4 linked regions of the Danio rerio genome follow. The protein of the gene in region 4 interacts with the protein of the main gene of each other region in a biochemical or structural test. Links are inferred from orthologs where the notes say so. Each region holds a gene or a part of one and is shown on either strand. Other genes may lie near its edges. The genes, in order: aptx, pnkp, polb and xrcc1.

What was found.
Region 1: the proteins of xrcc1 (region 4) and aptx form a complex in vitro, tested with the Homo sapiens proteins (2 studies listed by BioGRID). The link is inferred for Danio rerio from reciprocal best matches to the Homo sapiens genes XRCC1 and APTX.
Region 2: the proteins of xrcc1 (region 4) and pnkp form a complex in vitro, tested with the Homo sapiens proteins (3 studies listed by BioGRID and IntAct, with this or other methods). The link is inferred for Danio rerio from reciprocal best matches to the Homo sapiens genes XRCC1 and PNKP.
Region 3: the proteins of xrcc1 (region 4) and polb form a complex in vitro, tested with the Homo sapiens proteins (5 studies listed by BioGRID, with this or other methods). The link is inferred for Danio rerio from reciprocal best matches to the Homo sapiens genes XRCC1 and POLB.

The regions. Positions count from the first base shown.
Region 1 is NC_133176.1:55,998,612-56,004,219, forward strand, and holds the start of aptx (aprataxin), read right to left. Parts: upstream 3,330-5,608; 5' UTR 3,263-3,329; intron 3,193-3,262; exon of another isoform or gene 3,169-3,192; 5' UTR 3,166-3,168; coding exon 3,036-3,165; intron 2,960-3,035; coding exon 2,913-2,959; intron 2,631-2,912; coding exon 2,577-2,630; intron 1,775-2,576; exon of another isoform or gene 1,522-1,774; coding exon of another isoform or gene 1,467-1,521; coding exon 1,269-1,466; intron 304-1,268; coding exon 244-303; intron 1-243. UniProt on the Homo sapiens protein: DNA-binding protein involved in single-strand DNA break repair, double-strand DNA break repair and base excision repair.
Region 2 is NC_133190.1:16,207,997-16,212,511, forward strand, and holds the end of pnkp (bifunctional polynucleotide phosphatase/kinase), read right to left. Parts: intron 3,947-4,515; coding exon 3,837-3,946; intron 2,810-3,836; coding exon 2,722-2,809; intron 2,533-2,721; coding exon 2,465-2,532; intron 1,406-2,464; coding exon 1,285-1,405; 3' UTR 956-1,284; downstream 1-955. UniProt on the Homo sapiens protein: Plays a key role in the repair of DNA damage, functioning as part of both the non-homologous end-joining (NHEJ) and base excision repair (BER) pathways.
Region 3 is NC_133183.1:3,696,011-3,701,083, reverse strand, and holds the end of polb (DNA polymerase beta), read right to left. Parts: intron 4,268-5,073; coding exon 4,128-4,267; intron 2,989-4,127; exon of another isoform or gene 2,201-2,988; coding exon 2,106-2,200; 3' UTR 1,651-2,105; downstream 1-1,650.
Region 4 is NC_133191.1:58,598,873-58,604,634, reverse strand, and holds the start of xrcc1 (DNA repair protein XRCC1), read right to left. Parts: upstream 3,418-5,762; 5' UTR 3,316-3,417; exon of another isoform or gene 3,314-3,315; intron 2,360-3,313; 5' UTR 2,322-2,359; coding exon 2,271-2,321; intron 1,816-2,270; coding exon 1,723-1,815; intron 1,512-1,722; coding exon 1,404-1,511; intron 192-1,403; coding exon 33-191; intron 1-32. UniProt on the Homo sapiens protein: Scaffold protein involved in DNA single-strand break repair by mediating the assembly of DNA break repair protein complexes. Negatively regulates ADP-ribosyltransferase activity of PARP1 during base-excision repair in order to prevent excessive PARP1 activity.

The sequences.
Region 1 (5,608 bases), on a different chromosome or scaffold from region 4:
AGTTTCAATCACTCATTTCTAACAACTGATTTCTTTTATCTTTGCCATGATGACAGCACAATATTTGACCAGATATTTTTCAAGATACTAGCTTAAAATGACATTTAAAGGCTTAACCAGGTTAATTAGGTTAACTTGGCAAGTTAAAAATAATATAAAATTTCACAGGATGGCTAATAATTTTGTTTTCAACCATATAACCATATAATATCAATATATTATAATATAATAACACACTCCAACCTGCATTTTGGGGTCCTGCATTGACGCTTTAAGTCCTTGGCTCCAGTGCCCAGCAGACTCCTTCAAAACAGAGGGGTTTCCACTGTTTTAGTCCAAAATCAACACTTTAAATGTGGTAAAATACATCAGCATTTCAACATAAATCTTAAATAAAGACCTTTAAAGTTTTCTCCAACCTCATGGCAAATATTAATTTAAAGCAAAAGCACTTGAAAATCATATAATGCACTTTATTTTAAGAGACTTACTTTGAAATAAGGTCATATTCATTCATGTATTTAATAACAAACAGCACATTTATAACAGTATTATTGATCTTTGTTACATTTTAGTTGATAGAAATACAGTTTTTCATAGTTCACTCAGTACATTAACTAATCCTAACAAGAATGAATTTGCATTTTAATAATAATCTAGTAAATCTGTGATTAATAAATGATGCACAATTATTGTTCATTATTAGATCATGTTGGTAAATACATTACTTAATGAAAACTTTAAGTGCAACCATTATAATAGAGCATATATGAGTAAAATATCTCACAGATCTCTCTTTTGAATTCATATTTTCTCTAGGAAGCTTTACAATATTATATTATAGATTATTCAGTACCGAAATCTGGAGCTTATCTAACAAAATAACTTATGATAACACTCCAAAAAAAAAACAAATGTATATACTAGGGGAAAATATTACATACACATTGAAAAAATAAATCTAAAATAATATTATATACAAAATAAACAAATAAATATATACAATTTTGTTGAAATTTTTGTAGTTTGTAATTGTTTTTGCATGTTTTATCTTTCTATTACTACAGATGTTCAGTGACTAAAATATTATTTCAATACATATATCTGTTTAATAAATCTGTTTTGGTCAAATGCACCAAAATATGACATATATTCACTGAGAAATTGATAAAAATATTCATTTTGCAAACTCATTTATGCCGAGCACTGTATACTCCTATTGCATAAATACTGAAACTTCCCAACCTATACATCTAAAAGAAACTCACCGATTTTTCACCAGCAGGTGGTGTTGTTTTTTTGGGTGGAGGTGGGCTGTCTGACACATCTGCTGTTGTTTTTGTAGGGCTCTGGATCTGCTGGGCTCTTTTGGAGGGTTTGGATCTGGACGTGTCCTCCGTGAACTTCACACTGTAAGGATACTGCTGATTGACCATGTAGAGTCTCTGACCCGGCTTTATGCTCACCTGCTTGCAGAGGTGGGCGACATTTGGTTTGTGTGATGTTAAGCAGACCAGAGACCTGTGCAATACAGCCTCAATTACAAGACAACCGGACAATTATCGACACAGCTGGTTTGCTAGAAGCTGAATAAAATAATAATTGCATCTTATCAGATATTAAAAAAAAAATAAAAAATACTTGGCATTTTAGATGTTGTAAATGTGTTCATAGAATATTTTATCGAAGCAAATACTACTGTTTATGTGTCTGATGTTTATAATAATAATGTACAATTTTCATTTTTACTTTGCCTTGTGTTAACTTAATAAAACTTGTATTAAAATTACATATATTATACCATTATATTTATATATATATATATATATATATATATAAATATATATATATATATGTACATACATACATAGATATACATACATAAATACATATAAATATATCTATACACACACACACACACACACACACATACATATATATATATATATATATATATATATATATATATATATACACACACACACACACACACACACACACACACACACACACACTACCTCAAAAAAATCTTGTCTTGTATCCAAGTTAAGTAATAATTTGACTTATAGTTGATCATTTAGTATCACAATTGGTTTGTATGAAAGGCAAATGACTCTAAATTATGATTATTTTACCAAAATAAAATATGATCATGCCTTGATTTTTAATGATTTCATTAGGACAGTAAGGTCTGACTTTGCTTAGACAACAGTCTTGTCACTTAACAGAAATAATGTACAGTATAGAATATAAAGTCATGCTGTTACTGTGAATTAACAAACAGGACATATTGGAAGTCTGCTCAAGTCTAGGATAATGACTATACAAAATTTTGCATTTTAAGCAACAGTAGAGCTACACATGGGTCTATAATTGTTGTTGTTGTTTTACCATATGTTTAATAATAGGCTAAACTTATTAACCTTTATTTTACATTTACAGAATCGTGAGAAAATCGTGATCTTGATTTTAAGCAAAAAAAAATTTTAAAAATTGTGATTCACATTTTTGCCAGAATCGTGCAGCCCTAGTCCGTATATTAAATACTTTTTCAGAATATTTTAAAAACACTGTACCTGATTGCCTTTGCCCACAACCACATCATCCACAAGTGTCGGATTCACACCCAGCTATTAAAAACATCAAATAAACAGGTTCAAACGTTATTACGTTTTATAAATTAACTTCTAAAAGGCTGTTATAATAAAATATCTGGTTCAAATCCATTTTGGTGAGTAACAAGTATTTTAATTTATTATTAAAGGAGAAAGTCAAAATATAAAACCAACTTTACACCAAGAAATAAACTTTTTTTTGTGGTATTGAAAACTAATTTGCATTATTTGACATATATTTCAGCTCAGTATATATTGTATTAATATTTGCTTTGATATTATAATTCTCCAGCAGACCTGTTTAACAGTGACAAATCCCCTGTTGCAATCAGCTCTCAATTCAACTGCAAAAAAGAAAAGACGTTGTATTTCTAAAATAAAGAGGCCGTTTTTTTATTTGCTTTTTATATGCAAAAATACCTTGTTCTCTAGAGCACTTCTTGTCTTTTATCTTAGTGTCTGGTCCTCGACCCAGAGTCACAGACTGTTGGTGATGGAGCTCAATGGGTTTGTGTGAATTATCTTCACTTACTAGTAAACACACAGGCATCTCCTGAAAACACACACCATATTACACGTTATAATGCTATTGCGTATACATATAGTCTACGGTGCTTTTCTAAAACCCACTTATGTTCGTTACTTACTGTGTTAGTGTAATAAAGCTACGGTAGAAAAAAGTGTGGTAGTCGTAAACATAAAAGTGCAACACATGACGCTCGCTCGCTCGCTCTTGTTCGTTGGTGTCAACAAACAGCACGTCATGCGCGCTTGCTGCCAACTACTGGCTGAAAGATGACGTGAACTAATCTTACCTAGGTGCCTAACAGATAATGTTAATACAAAAAAGATGATGTTAATTCAAAAAGTAGAATTTTAAAAAAGATATTAAAATAAATACAATTACACATATAATATAATCTAAAAATATAAGTAAAAATTAAAATTGTACACGATACAATTACACTTAAGGGCACAAGGCAAGGAGAGCAAACCAGAGTTGTGCAGATGCAAAACAGTATAAAGAGGAAAAAGTACACTATAATGCAAAGTATATAGTATAAAAGGCTTGTACATATGATGAGTATTATAAAGTGACAGTGTCTTAATAATATATAGGAATGTAGTATGAGGTATCTAGCAGATGTAGATGTATACACGTCAGATTTAGTGGAGTTTGTGGACAGATTTCCTGTAACTACACTTTAAAAATAATATAACATCACTTTATGGAGTTTAATTTTATAGAGTATAGAATAGTGTTACTTAATGCAGACAGTTTAAACGCTCCTACTGTTGATTTATTTGGATTTTGTTTTTATTTTAAGGCAAGTAATTATTCACTCATTCATTTTCTTTTCGGCTTATTCTCTTTCATAATCAGGGGTCGCCACAGCGGAATGAACCGCCAACTTATCCAGCATATGTTTTACTCAGCGGTACTACCCATGGTTACTACCCATCTCTGGGAAACATCCATACACACTCATTCACACACATACACTATGATCAGATTTAGCATATCCAGGTCACCTGTACCACATGTCTTTGGACTGTCAAGATACCCCACACGAACAGGGGGAGAACAAGCAAACTCCACAGAAATGCCAACTGATTCAGGCGAGACTGAACCAGCAACCTTCTTGCTGTGAGGCGAACATGCTACCCACTGCACCATCGTTTAGTTCACCACAAGTTATTATGTTCCTAATAAATAATAAATTGATAAAAAAAATAGCCGACCACTTTTTATTTTATTTTTATTAAAAAATGATATTTTATTGTAGCAAATTACACAACAACATCCCTAGACAGTTAGTGAATCCATTTTATATTGTTTTAATAAATAATACAATTTTATTATTATATATATATATATATATATATATATATATATATATATATATATATAAATATGTGTGCGTGCGTGTGTGTATGTATGTATATATAATATATATGTATATAAATAAAATTGTGTGTATGTATATATATATATATGTATATATATATATATATATATATATATATATATATATAAGCAGGACATTTGACTTTGTTTTAATTTATTTTATTACAGATTACAGTAGGCTATTAAGTAACCTACATTTATTGTAGCTTTTTTTTATTTAGTTTTTTCCATTTTAATGCAAATACTTTATTTTCCATAACAAATTACACAAAATCTCTACATTATTAGCCAACCGCTTTTATTTCATTTAATTTTATTCAACATTCATTTTGTTGATTTTGTTTTCTTTGGTTACATTTAGTGGCACAGTGGGTAGCACAATTGCTTCACAGCAAGAAGGTCACTGGTTTGAGCCTCGGCTGGGTCAGTTGGCGTTTCAGTGGAGTTTGCATGTTCTCCCTGCGTTCACGTGAGTTTCCTCCGAGTGCTCCAGTTTCCCCCACAGTCCAAAGACATGCAGTACAGGTGAATTGGGTAGACTAAATTGTCTGTTGTGTATGAGTGTGAATGAGTGTGTGTGGATGTTTCCCAGAGATGGGTTGCAGCAGGAAGGGCATCCTCTTCCTAAAAAAACATGCTGGATAAGTTGGCGGTTCATTCCGCTGTGGCGATCCCTAATTAATAAAAGGACTTAGCTGATAAGAAAATTAATTTGTATTCATTAATTCTCTTTTCGGCTTAGTCCCTTATTAATTAGGGGTCGCCACAGTGGAATGAACCGCCAACTTATCAAGCATATGTTTTACACAGCGGATCCCTTCCAGCTGCAACCCGGGAAAATTATTAATAATACTACTACTACTAATTACTAATACTACAATTAATAAATACTATTACTACTACTAATAATAATAATCATAATTAATCGATTGCAATTATTTCTCAATTTAATATGCATTTATTTATGCAATTTATGTTGTGTGGGTGTTTATTTACAGACAGTGATCATTCTTGTTTGTTATCTGAGGAGATTTAATAAAGATTAAAAAAATAATGCGCCTAGAGTTGCTTGGCAACAGCAAAC
Region 2 (4,515 bases), on a different chromosome or scaffold from region 4:
GTATGTATGTATATGTATGTATATATATATATATGTATGTATATATATATATATATATATATATATATATATATATATATATATATATATATATATATATATATATATATATATATATATGTATACAAATAGTGTTTTTAGTTCCAGTGAAAGTAACTGTTAATGCTTCAACATATCAAATTATTATAGATAATTTCAATTAAACAGTCTTGGGATGCCTCTTCTGAACTTTTGACAGCATATCAGTGCAAAAGATCCATAAAAAAAAATTAATGGGTGGAATTGGCTTGGAGGAACTTGACTGGCCTGCACAGAGTCCTGAACTTAACCCAATAAAACACCTTTGGCACAAATGTTGCCAGGCCTTTTCATCTACCATTATTGCCTGACCTCAAAAATACACTTCTAGACAATGGCCAAAAATTGCCCTAAACACACTTCTAAACTTTGTGGAAATCTGTTATTGATGCAAAAAAAGTGGTCAACTCATATTAAAAGTAGAATATCATAAAATTTTATGTGAATTTAACTGCAGATGTCCCAAAACACAAAAACCAAATGCAGAAACTTGCAAAATATTACTAATACGGTATGTTTATCCACTGTTTTGTAGTGTCTGCAGTTTATTTATTTTATTATTTTATTTAATTATCTTTTTTTCTTACAATGGAGATATTTGTGTTTTAATGACCTGCAGTATTACGCCACATTTAAACTGATGCAAACTCATGTGTTGAGCCATAATTACTCAATTATGTTTAAGAAACAATGTGAGAAGTTGAAAAACTGATAAGGAATCATCAATTGACACACTCCCATCAGTTCTACAGTCACTGTTTGTGGTAAAAACATTGAGTTACACACAAACACAACATTTAGAGGATGAGCTTTCTCTGATTTCTGAGATCTTGCAGTAAACAAAAATGTTTTGTAGACAAGAAAAAAAAAACTTCAATATTGAAGCATATTAATTGTATTTATTGCGAATGTCAATCTGAAACAAGCAATTATTTCTCCAGTTTAAAAAATAATATACATAAAAGACAATTTTAATTCTATTGTCTTTACAGCCCGTCAGTTTTAGCAGCCATGAATGCATTTCCCAAACACCACATTTAAAAACTAGCATTAAAGACAAGTTTAATCACCTAAAGAAGACAATAAAATATAATAATTAGTCTTGTACTGGCACTAATGTTCTGATTTTAAATGAGGTTCTAGAATTTTCTTCACAAATTAGAGTCAGCCATTGTGTTTCATGATTTTTCTCACAAGTTTCACTCTTCAGCCCTCAGAGAATTGCTTGAACAGGAACTCTGACCTTTTGTCACTGAAACTGGGCACAAAATGGATCTGCAGGACTTCAGAAAAGCCCTCAGACAAGCTGGGCACCACAAACTTTTTCCTAAAAAGAACAAAACAGTGTTTTATTTATACATGTATTTAACGTTTAAAAAAAATGGATTTAGTTTAATAGTTCTATATTTAGTTAACCATAATAATTTTTATAAACAAATCTTTTTTTAGTTAAAGTAAATGAAAATAAGCCATTCCCTTAGCAGCTGGAACATAACATGTATCATGCAGTGGGAAAAATAAGTACTGAACACCACCATTTTTCTCAGAAAACATATTTCTAAAGGTGCCGTTGACTTGATTTGTTCCCCGGATGTTGAAAACAACAAAAGAAATCCATATATACACACAAAACAGATCTAATTAGTTTACAAATGAAGTTATGTGTAATAAAATGAAATGATGCAGGGAAAAAGTATTAAACACATGAAGAAAGGAAGGTGTAGAAAGGCGGTGAAAGCCCAGACAGCAGCTGAAATCTCTGTAGTTCTTCAGCAACCCTCTGCCCTTCATCATTGTAAATTAATATTAGCTGCTCTAGTCCAACATCTATATTAGCAGGATGATAACAATGAAACCTGAGTGGACATTTTAGCAAGAAAATGTCCCAAAACACAGCCAAGGAAACTCTCTCAGATTTTTTTGTTTTGTTTTACTTTTATGTTTGTATTGTTTGGGTTTTGACCAAAATCTGCTTCAATTCCATGTCAACAGCTCCCTAAGAAATATTATTCTTAGGAGAAAACATAGCGTATTCAATACTTATTCGTTTGTTTAGTATTTGTAATACATTTTCAATTATTCAATTTCAAGGAATATAATGGTTTTAGATTTATGCCAATAAATTTAGTCAGTAATGAGACAATATTTTATTTAGAGTTGAATTGAACATTTTTTATTGATTTAATATAGTTTGCTATTTTAGTACATTAAGCTAAATGAAAACAATACATATTTCCTAGGCAAACAGAAATTAAATAAGTTTTCAATGTATTTTATGCCAGTTTTAGTTCATTTACCTGCTGTATATTAGATAACAACATGGTTTCAGTGAAATAAAACAATAATCTTGGTTGCAATAACCTCATCTTGCTGCTCTTTTACTCACTTGTAGCTGTGAATCACCATGTCATTGACAGGAACATGCTTAGTTGCAGAAGGAACCATCTCACGAAACTGAAGACAGGAAAAAAGACAGATAAGAAAGTGTGACAATCAGAGTGAGTGTGCATTTCTGCCTTCATATTTTAAGTCAAGATACAGAGTTTCCAAAAGAAAAATAAAGTGATTGCTGCTTAAAATTTTATTATATAATTTTGCCCAAGCAAAGTTTTATATTTAATGTACTGCAGTTAAGACGGATACCCTGTTGTTATGCTTTGCTTGATCCAGACTGGCTGTAAAGTTGAAGCATCTGCAGGAAACACCAGCGCTTTGAGCCACATCTATATATCTGAAAATCATATATGATAGAATTTTATAATAATAATAATAATAATAAACCTTTTTTTTTATATGGCGCCTTTAATAGTCACATCTCAAGACATGTAAAATGTGAAGCAAAAAAAACATACATAGTGTGGAAAAATAAGTATTGAACACCACCATTCTTCTCAAAAACATATTTCTAAAGGTGCTGTTGACTTGAAATTTTCCCCAGATATTGGTAACAACTAAACAAACCCATATATGCAAAGACAATGATTAAAACACAGCCAAGGAAATTCTCAAATAGATTCAGAGAAAGAAAATTAAGCTGTATAATGGCCCAGCCAATCACCTGACTTAAATACAATAGATTATACAAAATAAAGATCAGATTTGATTGATGAGACCCACAGAACCTTCAAGATTTTTACACTGTTGAAATCTGTAAAAAAACACCTGAGCAATGCATGTGACTTCATTCTCCATATGTGAGAGGTGTCTTTAAGCTGCCATCATTTAAAAAGCCTTTAATTTAAAACATTAAATAAATTCCAGTAGTTCAGTACTTTCTCCTTGTGTCATTTCATTTTTATTACATATAACAATTTTTCAGATTTTGTTTGTTTTGTTTTATGCTTGTATTGTTTGAGTTTTTTAACAAAATCTGGTTTAATTCCACGTGAACAGCTCCTTTAGAAATGTCATTCCCAAGAAAAAACATGACGTGTTCAATACTTTCCCTGCAGTACAAGGATAAATGCAAAAACGTGCAATAAAAATTTTTATTAAAAATCAAAAATTAATAATAATAATAATAATAATAATAATATATAATAGAAATAGAAAAATAATAGAAAATAGAAAAATAAAAAATAAATAAATAAAAAGGTGAGTTTTAAGAGATGATTTAAAAATACTCAGGGATTCTGCATTGCAAATATCTGTATCAGTAAAGAGTTCCACAATTTAGGTGCCAATAAAAAGGCCAGAAGTTTAAAAAAAAAAAAAAAAAAAAAAAAAAAGCATCCATCTGCTCTGGAAATGGCTGGCACCTTTTTCTAGATTCTAGATCCGGGTTAGTGTTGTCCACCGCTACGCTTTTGCCTTCCTTTAGCGCACGTTCACAAGCTGATACACAGTGCTGCCACGAGCCCATTGTGTCCTGCAATTTAAAAGAGATATCTTAATCAATACACTTTTATAATAGTTTCATGATTATTTTACAATGTGGCAAATTGGTGGATAACTGAAGAATTCTCATTTGTTGATTTTTTTACACAACAATCAAACATTTTTGTGCAATTCACACCCAAAATACTGTTTATAGCAAATAACAACCTGTATATTATGTTAACTTATATTTGCACATCCCTGATCATTAATAGCAACCTGTATGTTTACTCATTCATTTATTTTCCTTCAGCTTAGTCCTTTATTTATTTGGGGTCACCAGAGTGGAATAAACCAGCAACTATTCCAGCATATGTTTTACACAGCGGATGCCCTTCCAGTTGCAGCCCAGTATTGGAAAACACCCATAGACTCTTGCATTCACACATACACTTATACACTATGGCCAATTTTGTTTATTCAGTTCACCTATAGTGCATGTCTTTGTACTATGGGGGAATGCAAAGCACCTGGAGGAAACCCACATGAACACGGGGAGAATATGCAAACTCCACACAGAAATGCCAACTGGCCCAGCCAGGACTCGTAATAAGAATAAAG
Region 3 (5,073 bases), on a different chromosome or scaffold from region 4:
GACTGACTATATTAAAATAAGGTCATTTCCAATTCAGTTTCTAATGACACTATCACGTATTTTTTTGCTTTAGAACTTCAAATGTTCAACAACCCTAACAGTATTATATGTCTTAACAATAAAAACGAAAACAATAAGTTACTCTAATGAGGATCGAACCCGGGTCCGCAGCGTCTTAACCTAACATGCTAACCGCTGGACCTCAATAGCTGTGTGCCAAACGGAGACACAATAATAATAATAATCATTAAAATAGATGAAAAGAGAAGCGTTGCGGTAAAATAATGAATAAAAAGGCTGTGGTCAAGTAAATAAATAAATTTAAAAATGTATTCGCTTTTTACAATTACATTAGAAAGCTAAATGTAAGATCTCTTTCTCTCTCACATACACACACCCACTCACTTGTAAAAACCTATAATGTGCTTGAAATACAACAGAACATGAATCACCTTTAAACTATTTTCAGAAGAACTAGAAGCAGGAAAAAGTTGGAGAAACATGACAAACTGCATTGCACATGTGAGAATTTTGAGAATGTTTTGTGTGCTCTTACAGTTGAAGTACAGTTTGAAATTTGGATTTTTATGCTTAGCTTAAACACAAGTGTGTGTTTCTGCATATACAACTTAAACATAAAAATAGATGTGTTTTTTTTATAATTGATTATATTAAGGATCTGCTCTCATTCATGTTTAGTTGTTCAAGGCATTGCAGCGATTGCTCATATCTAGCAGTAACATATTATCTATGCCAGTGGTTCTCAAACTTTTTACATCAAGTACCACCTCTAAAAAAATTGTCCCTCCAAGTACCACCATATGACCAGTCATGAAATACAGTAGTGTAGTAGGCCTAATCAAGCAGCTACAACTCTGCAGAGTTTAAAAACGTGGGAGATTAATTACTATTATTAATAAAATTTATTATTTAAACCTTATAAATCGTTTGAACATTAACACTGCTGGGGGTTTTTTTATGTAAAAAACCAAACAAACAAAATAACATGGCAACATTTAAATTAAAATGTGCTTTTAAAAGTTAAAAAATGAAAAAAAATCTCCTGTACTTAAATGTGTTAAGTGTTAACCTGTAGCATCCTATTCATCAAAGCCTGGAAATGCTGCTTGGACCTCATAAATATAGGCTATATGCAGGGCCAGACGGAATCTGCAGACATTTTTTGCTATTTCTGCTGAGAATTTTGGTAAAAATCTGCGGATTTCTGCGGAATTATTTTGGGAGTATCCAGTGGAGTATCATAACTAAAACCTTAATATATTAAATAAAAAGTAATAAATTACTGAATAAAAACTGAATAAATTCAGATTTACTCAAGTAAATAAACAGATTTAATAATGGGCTAAAAATCTGCGTAATTCTGCGTGAGCAGATTTCGTGTGGGCCTAACTATATGTCATCATATTCATATATGAACCATTTTTTAAACATTGAAACATATGTTGCATGTACATATGACATATTGGATTACTTTGCGTACCACTAGAAAGCAGCCCGCGTACCACTAGTTTTACCACAGTTTGAGAACCACTGATCTATACTATTCAATATGAGACAGACTGTTCTCTTCAATATATCATAATAAAACAGTACAATATTCAGATTCATTTTGAAAAAACGCAGAAAATAAAACTGATATTTAGTATTTTTAATGGAGGATCCAAATGTTTAAACAGAAATCCTGCATCCTCATAATACGGCTAGACTATTATGCCAACAAAAAATATCTTAATATCATCATAATAGGTCATACAGACTTTAAATAACACACAATCCTCATTCATATTTTAGCATGGGAGTATGCTGAAAGACATGTTTGCTGCTTTATCTGAGACAATATGATATCTATAAGCACAGTATTGACAAAACCACAACATTCTTTCTTCACTCTTGTATTTAAAACAAAATCATATACATGACTATTATGACTAAAAAGCACCATCAACAGCAGTCATGTAGCTGCTTTAGTGAGTTTAAAAACTCAAACACAGACACTCCCTTTATGTCTTTTCTACTATTAAAATACACTATTATGAGCTAAACGACCAACACACACACAGTCTGCTCTTTAATGTGCTTTTGTTTCACTCGCTGCGGTCCTTCGGCTCTCTGTATTTCCACTGGATGTACTCAAAGATGTCCTTCTCACTGTCCACCAGCAGAGGCTCTCCTGCCACACCTGAACCACAGATAATAAGTTAACGAAGAAAAAAAAAGGCTGTATTGTATTTTTTAGAAATCACGTTTTTTGTTCAGTTGTAGTCTTAAAATGTGATCTCTGAAAATTACAACAAACAAAAACAGATCAAATGTGCATTTCAATCATGTATTTTTGTGATTGTACTCTTCAGTGAACACCATTAAAACATCATATCTCAAAGCTCGTAAAAACTGAATTATCCGTTATTATTAACTGAATCTTTATTTGTTCATACACTTGTGCAGGTATATGTTGTAGGTTATTTCTTATAGCATTTTTTATATTATGTTTGTGTACTATATTGTATAATCATTCATTCATTCATTCATTCATTCATTCATTTTCCCTCGGCTTAGTCCCTTTATTTATCAGGGGTCCCAACCAAGGAATGAACCGCCAACAATTCCAGCATACGTTTTACACAGCGGATGCCCTTCCAGATGCAACTCAGTACTGGAAAACATCCATACCCACTCATTCACTACCCAATTCACCTATAGTCCATGTGTTTGGACTGTGGGGGAAACCGAGCACATGGTGGAAACCCGCAACAACACGGGGAGAACAAGCAAACTGACCTAGCTGGGACTCATACCAGCGACCCTCTTGCTGTCAGGGCTAACTACTTAGCCACCGTGTTGCCCACTATATTGTATATGTACATGCTTTATAAGCATATAAATATGAAATGAGTTTTGTTTTTAATTCAAAAAAGTACATGACAGGAAGGTGTTTTTGTTCTTTGTTAACAAATAATAAGGACTGCCAAATAATAAGAAAATTATAAAAGAAAAAAAAAAAAAAACATTATATATATATGTGTGTAAAGTTCATGATGAACCAGTCTGTGGCTCACACTATGTCACTGTCTGAATTCACACACTCATTTTTGTTTTCTTTCCTAATCCAGGTAACTCAACTGCACTACACTATATCCGCTTGTTAAATGTGACGTCACGCGAAGCGGCTTCCGGGTCCAAGCGCTATATCAAATATTTTCAAAGCGTTGCAATACTTTTGAAAATCATGAGCGCGATATATATATATATATACACAACAGTTCTGTCTGGTTCTTGAATCTGATTGGCTGATAGCCGTAATATATTTAAGTAATATCAGCACCCGTACAGCCTCTTTACGCTTTGTGTATTACTCCGCCCACATACAGCCAGCAAAAAGCAGATCTAAAGTTTAAAAGATGCTTGCTCAACTGTTTAACTGTCAGCTTATGATTTGTATCCAACGTGAAAGAAAGTAGTTCCTCATACAAAAGGGTTTTTAAGACTCTCCATGTTTGATTTTGTTTTTATATACACAATTATGCCATCAAACTGTTGTATATCACACTCGTAGCAGTGCAATATGGCTGTATATCAGCACTGGTGGGGGCACTAAGGCACTCGGCCTGCGGCCTCGTGCCAACGCACGAATGCTACTTGTGTGATATTGCTCATATATATATATATATATATATATATATATATATATATATATATATATATATATATATATATATATATATATATATATATATATATATATATATATATATATATATATATATGCCTATTATCCAATGGCCAGAAAGTGATGAATTTTTTATAAATTGTTAAAATATTGGTGTCTGAGATGCAGCAAGTCCAGAGACTGTTGTGTACACCATGATTTAATATAAAATTCACTTTAATGTGTGATAGGACTAAAAAGTGGTCATAAACAAATATTTTTTCAATTCAGTGGCTTGGACCCGGAAACAGTATTTCATACGTCACCACTTAACAAGCGGATTAAGATTAGTGAATGAGTGAACAAGTGTGTGTGGCTTTAGACACAGCTCACACTAGACTGTCAGATGGACACAGTTTCTGTCCTGTGCTGTAAATGTGTGCGGTTGTGTGTGTCTCACCAGTGACGCCCAGTGGACGGATGGTGTACTCATTGAGCGTGAAGCCTTTCTCTAGTGCGTGAGTCCTCATGTTCTTGTTGAATATATCACTGCCGGTGAAATACAGCACACCGCAGTAATACTGATCTTTAGGGATAAGCCTGCAGATACAGAGAAAGAGATGTGAGGAAAATGCAGGAAAAAAATACATATGACTATTTCCTCTTGTGATGTTTTATGATAAAACCGGATGTTTTCCTGTTTGGTTGTGGATTCTAAAAATCTGAATAATAGTATGAGATTCTAGACTGATCATTTGTAATATAATTTTATATTTAAGTTCACTTCAGATTTAAGTTCATATATTTAAGTTCATTTTACATTTAAGTTGTAGTGATGGGCAAAATCTTCAGTGTAAAATGTTTATTTTAGGTTAAAATCATAGGCAACTTTGTTGTATTTAAACGAATCTGGTGGTGTCAAATCTGGTGGTGTGAAATTATAGCGAATTTAATAATCCAATATGTCTCTTTTGCATGCACAAAAATAAAAATCATAATCATCATGCTTAAACACAACCTCTTTTGTTGCATGAAAAATAATGGTAAAATTGTATAAAACAGTCGCATCACAGCATTTCATAAAACATTTACAACAGTGTTTCTCAACCATGTTCCTGGAGGCCCACCGCTATGTTTTGGATGTCTCCATTGCCTGATACACCCATTACAGGTCTTTCAGTCTCTGCTAATGAGCTGATGATCTGAATCAGGTGTGTTTGGTTAAAAATCATGGAAAATGTGCTGGTGGTCCTCCAAGAACATGGTTGAGAAACACTGGTTTAGAAGACAGAAAGTACCTAGTTATTATCAGTTTTAGTTGATGTTGTCAAGGCAAAGGAATAAATTAACAAAGTATTAAACAAAGAAATAAAACCTATATACACATGCAATTATTTAGAAAAACA
Region 4 (5,762 bases):
TGATTATGGTGTGCTAAGTTTTTCCCCCTGACCTTGCTGTAGGGCTGACTGCAGACGATCTTCACGCGATCCCACTTCTCCTGTGATTGCGCCTTCACCAGCTGACCGGGCCCGAAGAAACGCACACGGTTTGTGTTTGTGCCGTTTCGGCTCTCAGTGGGCGACATGAAGGACGATGTGACCAGCAGAACCTACAAAACAATGCAGAAGAGTAAACATGCGGTTTATATCTATTTTAGTTGAAGACTCCTATTTTTATTTATTGCCACATCAGCAACTTGTGGCTATTTAATGGCAAAATGGATTGAAGACCCCTTTAAATTTAAATAATTTTAATTATTGCCATTTACATATGCCATATTTCCATATAACACTTTAAAACGTATTAGTTTTAATAACTCATCTCTAATAACTGATTTATTTTATCTTTGTCATGATGACAGTAAATATTATTAGACTAGATATTCTTCAAGACACTTCTATACAGATTAAAGTGAGATTTAAAGGCTTCACTAGGGTAATTAGGCAAGTCATTGGACAACTTTAAAATACATTTATTAATATATATATACATATTTATATATTTTTTTTATTATTATTATTTTCCCCCCCAGCAAAACTAATAGCAAGACATTCTCCAAAAGAAAAATATTACAAGGTTATAATATAATTATATATTAAATACTGTGAACATTTTCTTGCTCTTTTAAACAGCAATTATATAATATTTTAAAAATAAATAAAATTTTACAATAATTTCAATGATTAAAATTAACATAAAAATGAATGAATCAGAACTCTAAACTTAAAAAAAAAAATAATAATAAAATGATGTATGTATGTATATATATATATATATATATATATATATATATATATATATATATATATATATATATATATATATATACATATACATATTTAAATTTTTATTATTTATTATTAATATATTTTATTATTTATTATAATATTTTGTATTATTAAAAAACAAATAATAATAATAATAAAACTATATATATATATATATATATATATATATATATATATATATATATATATAAATATATATATATATATATATACACACACACACACACACACACAAACATACACACACACTAGTAGTATTTATTTAAAATAATACTCTTTTGCAAAACGCAATATATGTACAAACATACACACACAGACATACAGGAAACCTCAACAACTGATTGACTGTATACATCACTGCTTAATCTAGCTATATTACCATCCATGAGACATGAAAATATCAATACACTACACACTAACATTATGACTCTGTAAAAATGCATGCTAATAAAACTGACTGAAGACAAAACTCACTAAAACTAACATGTTTTCATAAGATGCAAAAATGAAAAGCTCAAAACTTTAAGACTCGCCTCAAAGTCTTGATCTTTGACAGACGTGGAGTGTCCGACAAGGACCTCGATGAAAGCAGAGCCTTCATTTCCAATGTCTATGCTGTGAATTTGCTCTTCCTTTTCCAACTGGAGGAACAAGACATGCAGGTTAAAAAAACATCTGCAAGTGGCATTAAGGCATCTTAAAATAATAATAATATACATTAAATAAATAAAAATGTTATTAAAATAATAATAATAATAATATATTTAATATGTTGTTAATTTGAAACTAACTTAAGAACAATTTTAAAATAAATAATAATAATAATAATTAACAAAAATAAGTCAGACATACTTGAAGGATGACAGAAACTTGCTTTTCTCCAGGTCTCGCAGCTTTCCATTTTCTGTAAGTGTCGGAGCTCAAGAGGTTGTCTGCTTTATGAGTCTGTGCAGAAAAAGTAAACAATCAAGAACAAACTCTTTAATTGGTGATCAGGATCCTGTTATTAATCTAATTTAACTACCATTTGTCTTGTTGCAAACAACTAAAATATAAAGTTGTTGGGGTGCCTCCCGGAACAGGGTTGGGAAACACAGCCTTGGAGAATCATTCCAATCAATTTCCAATCAATTTAATGAACTGTTCCTAAATAGAGCTCTTCAAGCCATTTAGTGAAACTGTATTCATATCGTGATATATTTAATGCAAGGTATCCCAATTTCTGATTTTATTTTTGAACATCTACAGCCCTACTGCATTTCAAGTTCAGTGACTCGGTTCAAACCAATGAGTCAATAGATTCAGCTGAATCAATGAATCAGTCTAGTTCTCAGGTTTGTGTGTTGATTGTTAAGTGTCAGTAAATGTTGTTAATATCAATAGTGTAACAGAATTCTTACATTATCTTCACTGCTGCAGGACACGACATGCTTGAGTTTGAGTTCAGGCATGTTCTCTGAATCAAACAATTGAATCGTTGCTCATAAACCTGAAAAAGCGAAGACATGACTTCATTAGTCATTAATTATCATGTTAACAGAAACCATAAGATAAAGCTCAGCCATGTGACATACTTTTTCCTAGTAGTTTTTGTTGAGAGAATGAAGAACTCATCTCAGTTCAGACTTAATTGCGAATTAATATACGAATCGGTTCACTGAATCGACTCACATGAACATTGCATAATGTAGCTATATTACCATCAATGAGACGTAAAAGCATAAATTACAAACATTAACACCTTGATTTTCCTCACAAATAAACAAAAAATGAAGACCCAAAAAACCTGAAAACACTGAACAAGACAAACAATTTCAAAGAATTATCATATTTCATGTTTATAAAAGCTAAAAATAAAGTATGTCGTACAATTTTAAGCATTCATTTTCATGACTTTTCACTAGTGTTTATTGATTTTTGAATTTCCAAAAATAATTCAAATTCAAACTAATAAAAATCGCGAATAAGGTATTCGAATCAGTTCACTGAATCGATTCACTTGAACGAGACAGCATCAAATCAAACCAGCCTTACTCTAAACATGCATAGAATCAATTAAGAGTGAAAAATTCTAGTAACGATGATTAATTGAGCGAAAATAGCGGCAATATGACATAAATATATACTACATGAGCAGTCAAAACACATCAATATTTCAGTATTAAGACACAATAAGTGTGCTGTTATACAACACATTACGTTACATAATAATCTGAAATATTTGACACAAAAAGCATGACGTGTGGACTGATTTATGAAATAAAAATACAAACTAATGAATCGGATAATTATAGTAATTTACTGTTATTCGGTCTAGTTAGCAGAGTCCGCCTGATCGAGTTAACCAGAGCAAACAATAGAGGCGCTTCAGAACCGCCATTAAATGCCAGAAAAGCGGCTAAAAATATTTAGATACGCATTCTGATGGATTCAACATCACTTTACCGAAATCCAAACAGAGCTGAAGCCGCTTCTGAGCTTTATTCCAGTCTGAGTGAGAGAGTTTCACAAGCGCGCGTACAAACTCCCTCTCAATCCACAACACGCGACGTCACTTCCGCCTGCCGACCAATCAGCGCCTGTGAGGCAGAATGTCACGTTCTCGACTTTAGAATAAAAGTCAGAATCAAACAGAAGATGGATTATTTTACTTGATTTATATTAATCTGATTTATATTAGACTTATATTAATTATTTTATATTATAAATTTTCAATCATTAATTTGTACAACAATTAATTAATTAATAATTAATAATTAATTAATTTTGATTCACTGTTCATTCATGCATTTAATCATTAGTTATTTTTCATTCATTCATTTGATTCATTCTTCACTCATTCTTTAGTTTTTAAATTAGTTATAAAAATCAATTATCGTTCACTCATTTGGTTATTAATGTGTTTATGTACTCACTTTTATTCATTCATTCATTAAAATATTTATTAATTTATTCCTTGTTTAACCATCTAGTTAATAATTTTGACTTACTCTTCAATCATTCAATTAATCTTTCATTATTTTTCATTCATTCATTCATTCATTCATTCATTCATTCAATTATTCATTTGCTTTGTTTATTTACTTTTTATTTCTTTATTTGTTCAATTATTCATTTAAATTATTAATGTATTCATTAATAACAATTGCATTGTGTTTATGTGCTTATTTTTTATTTCTTTATTCATTCATTCATTCGTTCGTTCATTCATTCATTCATTCATTCATTCATTCATTCATTTATTCATTCAAATTATTATCAATAATTTCTGATTCACTGCTCCTTCATTTAATTAATTATTAATTATTTTTCATTCGTTCATTTAATTAACTGTTCATTCATTATTTATTCATTCATTAAATTTTTGATTCATTTGCTCATTCACTCTCCTTATTTGGTCATTAATGTGTTTATGTACTTATTTTTATTTATCTGTTTATTCGTTCCTTCATTCATTCAATTATTTATTCCTTGTTCAATCATTTAATACATTTTGATTCACCGTTCATTCACTTAATTAATCTTTCGTTATTTTTCATTTATTCATTTCATTCATTGTTCAGTCATTCATTAAATGAATTGTTCATTTGCTCATTCACTCTCCTTTTTTGGTGAATAATGTGTTTATGTACTTTTTATGTATTTGTTTCTACATTCATTCATTCATATAATTATTTGTTAATTAATTGTTAAATGATTTAATTACTTTTGGTTTTACTGTTCCTTTATTAATTCAGTCATTCATTTAATTATTCATAATTTTTTTCCCTTAATTAATTAATTGTTCGCTCATTCATAATTCATCATTGAATTATTTATTTTGCTCATTCACTCTCCTTATTAGGTGATTGATATTTTTATTTATTTATTTATGATTTGTTCATTTATTCATTCATTCATTCACAAAAGAAAGGTTCAGTAGTTTCAGAGCATGTTTTATTTTCAAGGTAAATTTAGCCTGTGTCTCTCCTGTTTCTCTCAACTCTGAGCACAGAATAATACACCGAACATGAACATCTGAAAAACTCAAAGTTTTCTACAGAAATGTGCTGTTGCTTTTCTCCTCTGTCTTCTTCAGAATGTCCTTGACTGGTTTCACACTCATAAGACACACACTATGTCCTGTTTTTTCCATTGCAGGCCCAGATTGGCCTTTCTGTTTAACAAAATAAGCCTCAGTCTTGCTGCATGTCTTAGTCTTCAAAAAATGTTAATATCGTCATTGTCCTCAGACCTAAAAGACTTTCAGTTCCCTTCAGTGATTTATAAATACATCAGCCTTGAAATGCACAAAACCCCACATGTGATATAACATAATGTTCATAATGTTGACTCAGTTTTAATAGAACAGAATAAGAAGATCTTTATAAACTGAATGTTCCCATAAGTTGTTCAAGTCACTTTTGAATGATTTCACCAAACATGTCTGCCTTCTTTCAGTAAGTTTCAGTAAGTTTTTTTGCTCTCAACTGAGGTCAGGAGCCTGTATCGTATTTGTGGCTAAACAAAACTCCGAATTAGAGGATTAGTTTTGAGTTTACTCACCAACGAAGACACTAAGGGCCTACTCACACTATGCCATTCGTACCGTGCCCAGGCCCGTTCCCCGTTTCACACTTGTAGTGTGAGTGCAAAACGTGCCAAAGCCCGAAACTGAAAGCGAGATGTGACTTTAAGGGGCTGTTTCATATGGATTTATTAATCATTCTTACTGTTCAGTGAACGCAAACTGCCGTAGTTTATTAAAGACGCAAACCCCTCACTGCACGACATCTGCACCTTCAGCAGACCTCCTCATTCTTGCAGCAGCAGCACAAGAGCTTTATGATTGTTTATGAGCGTCAAAAGTGGCGGATCTGTTCGGCGAAATATCTGACTGCGTGTCCCCATAT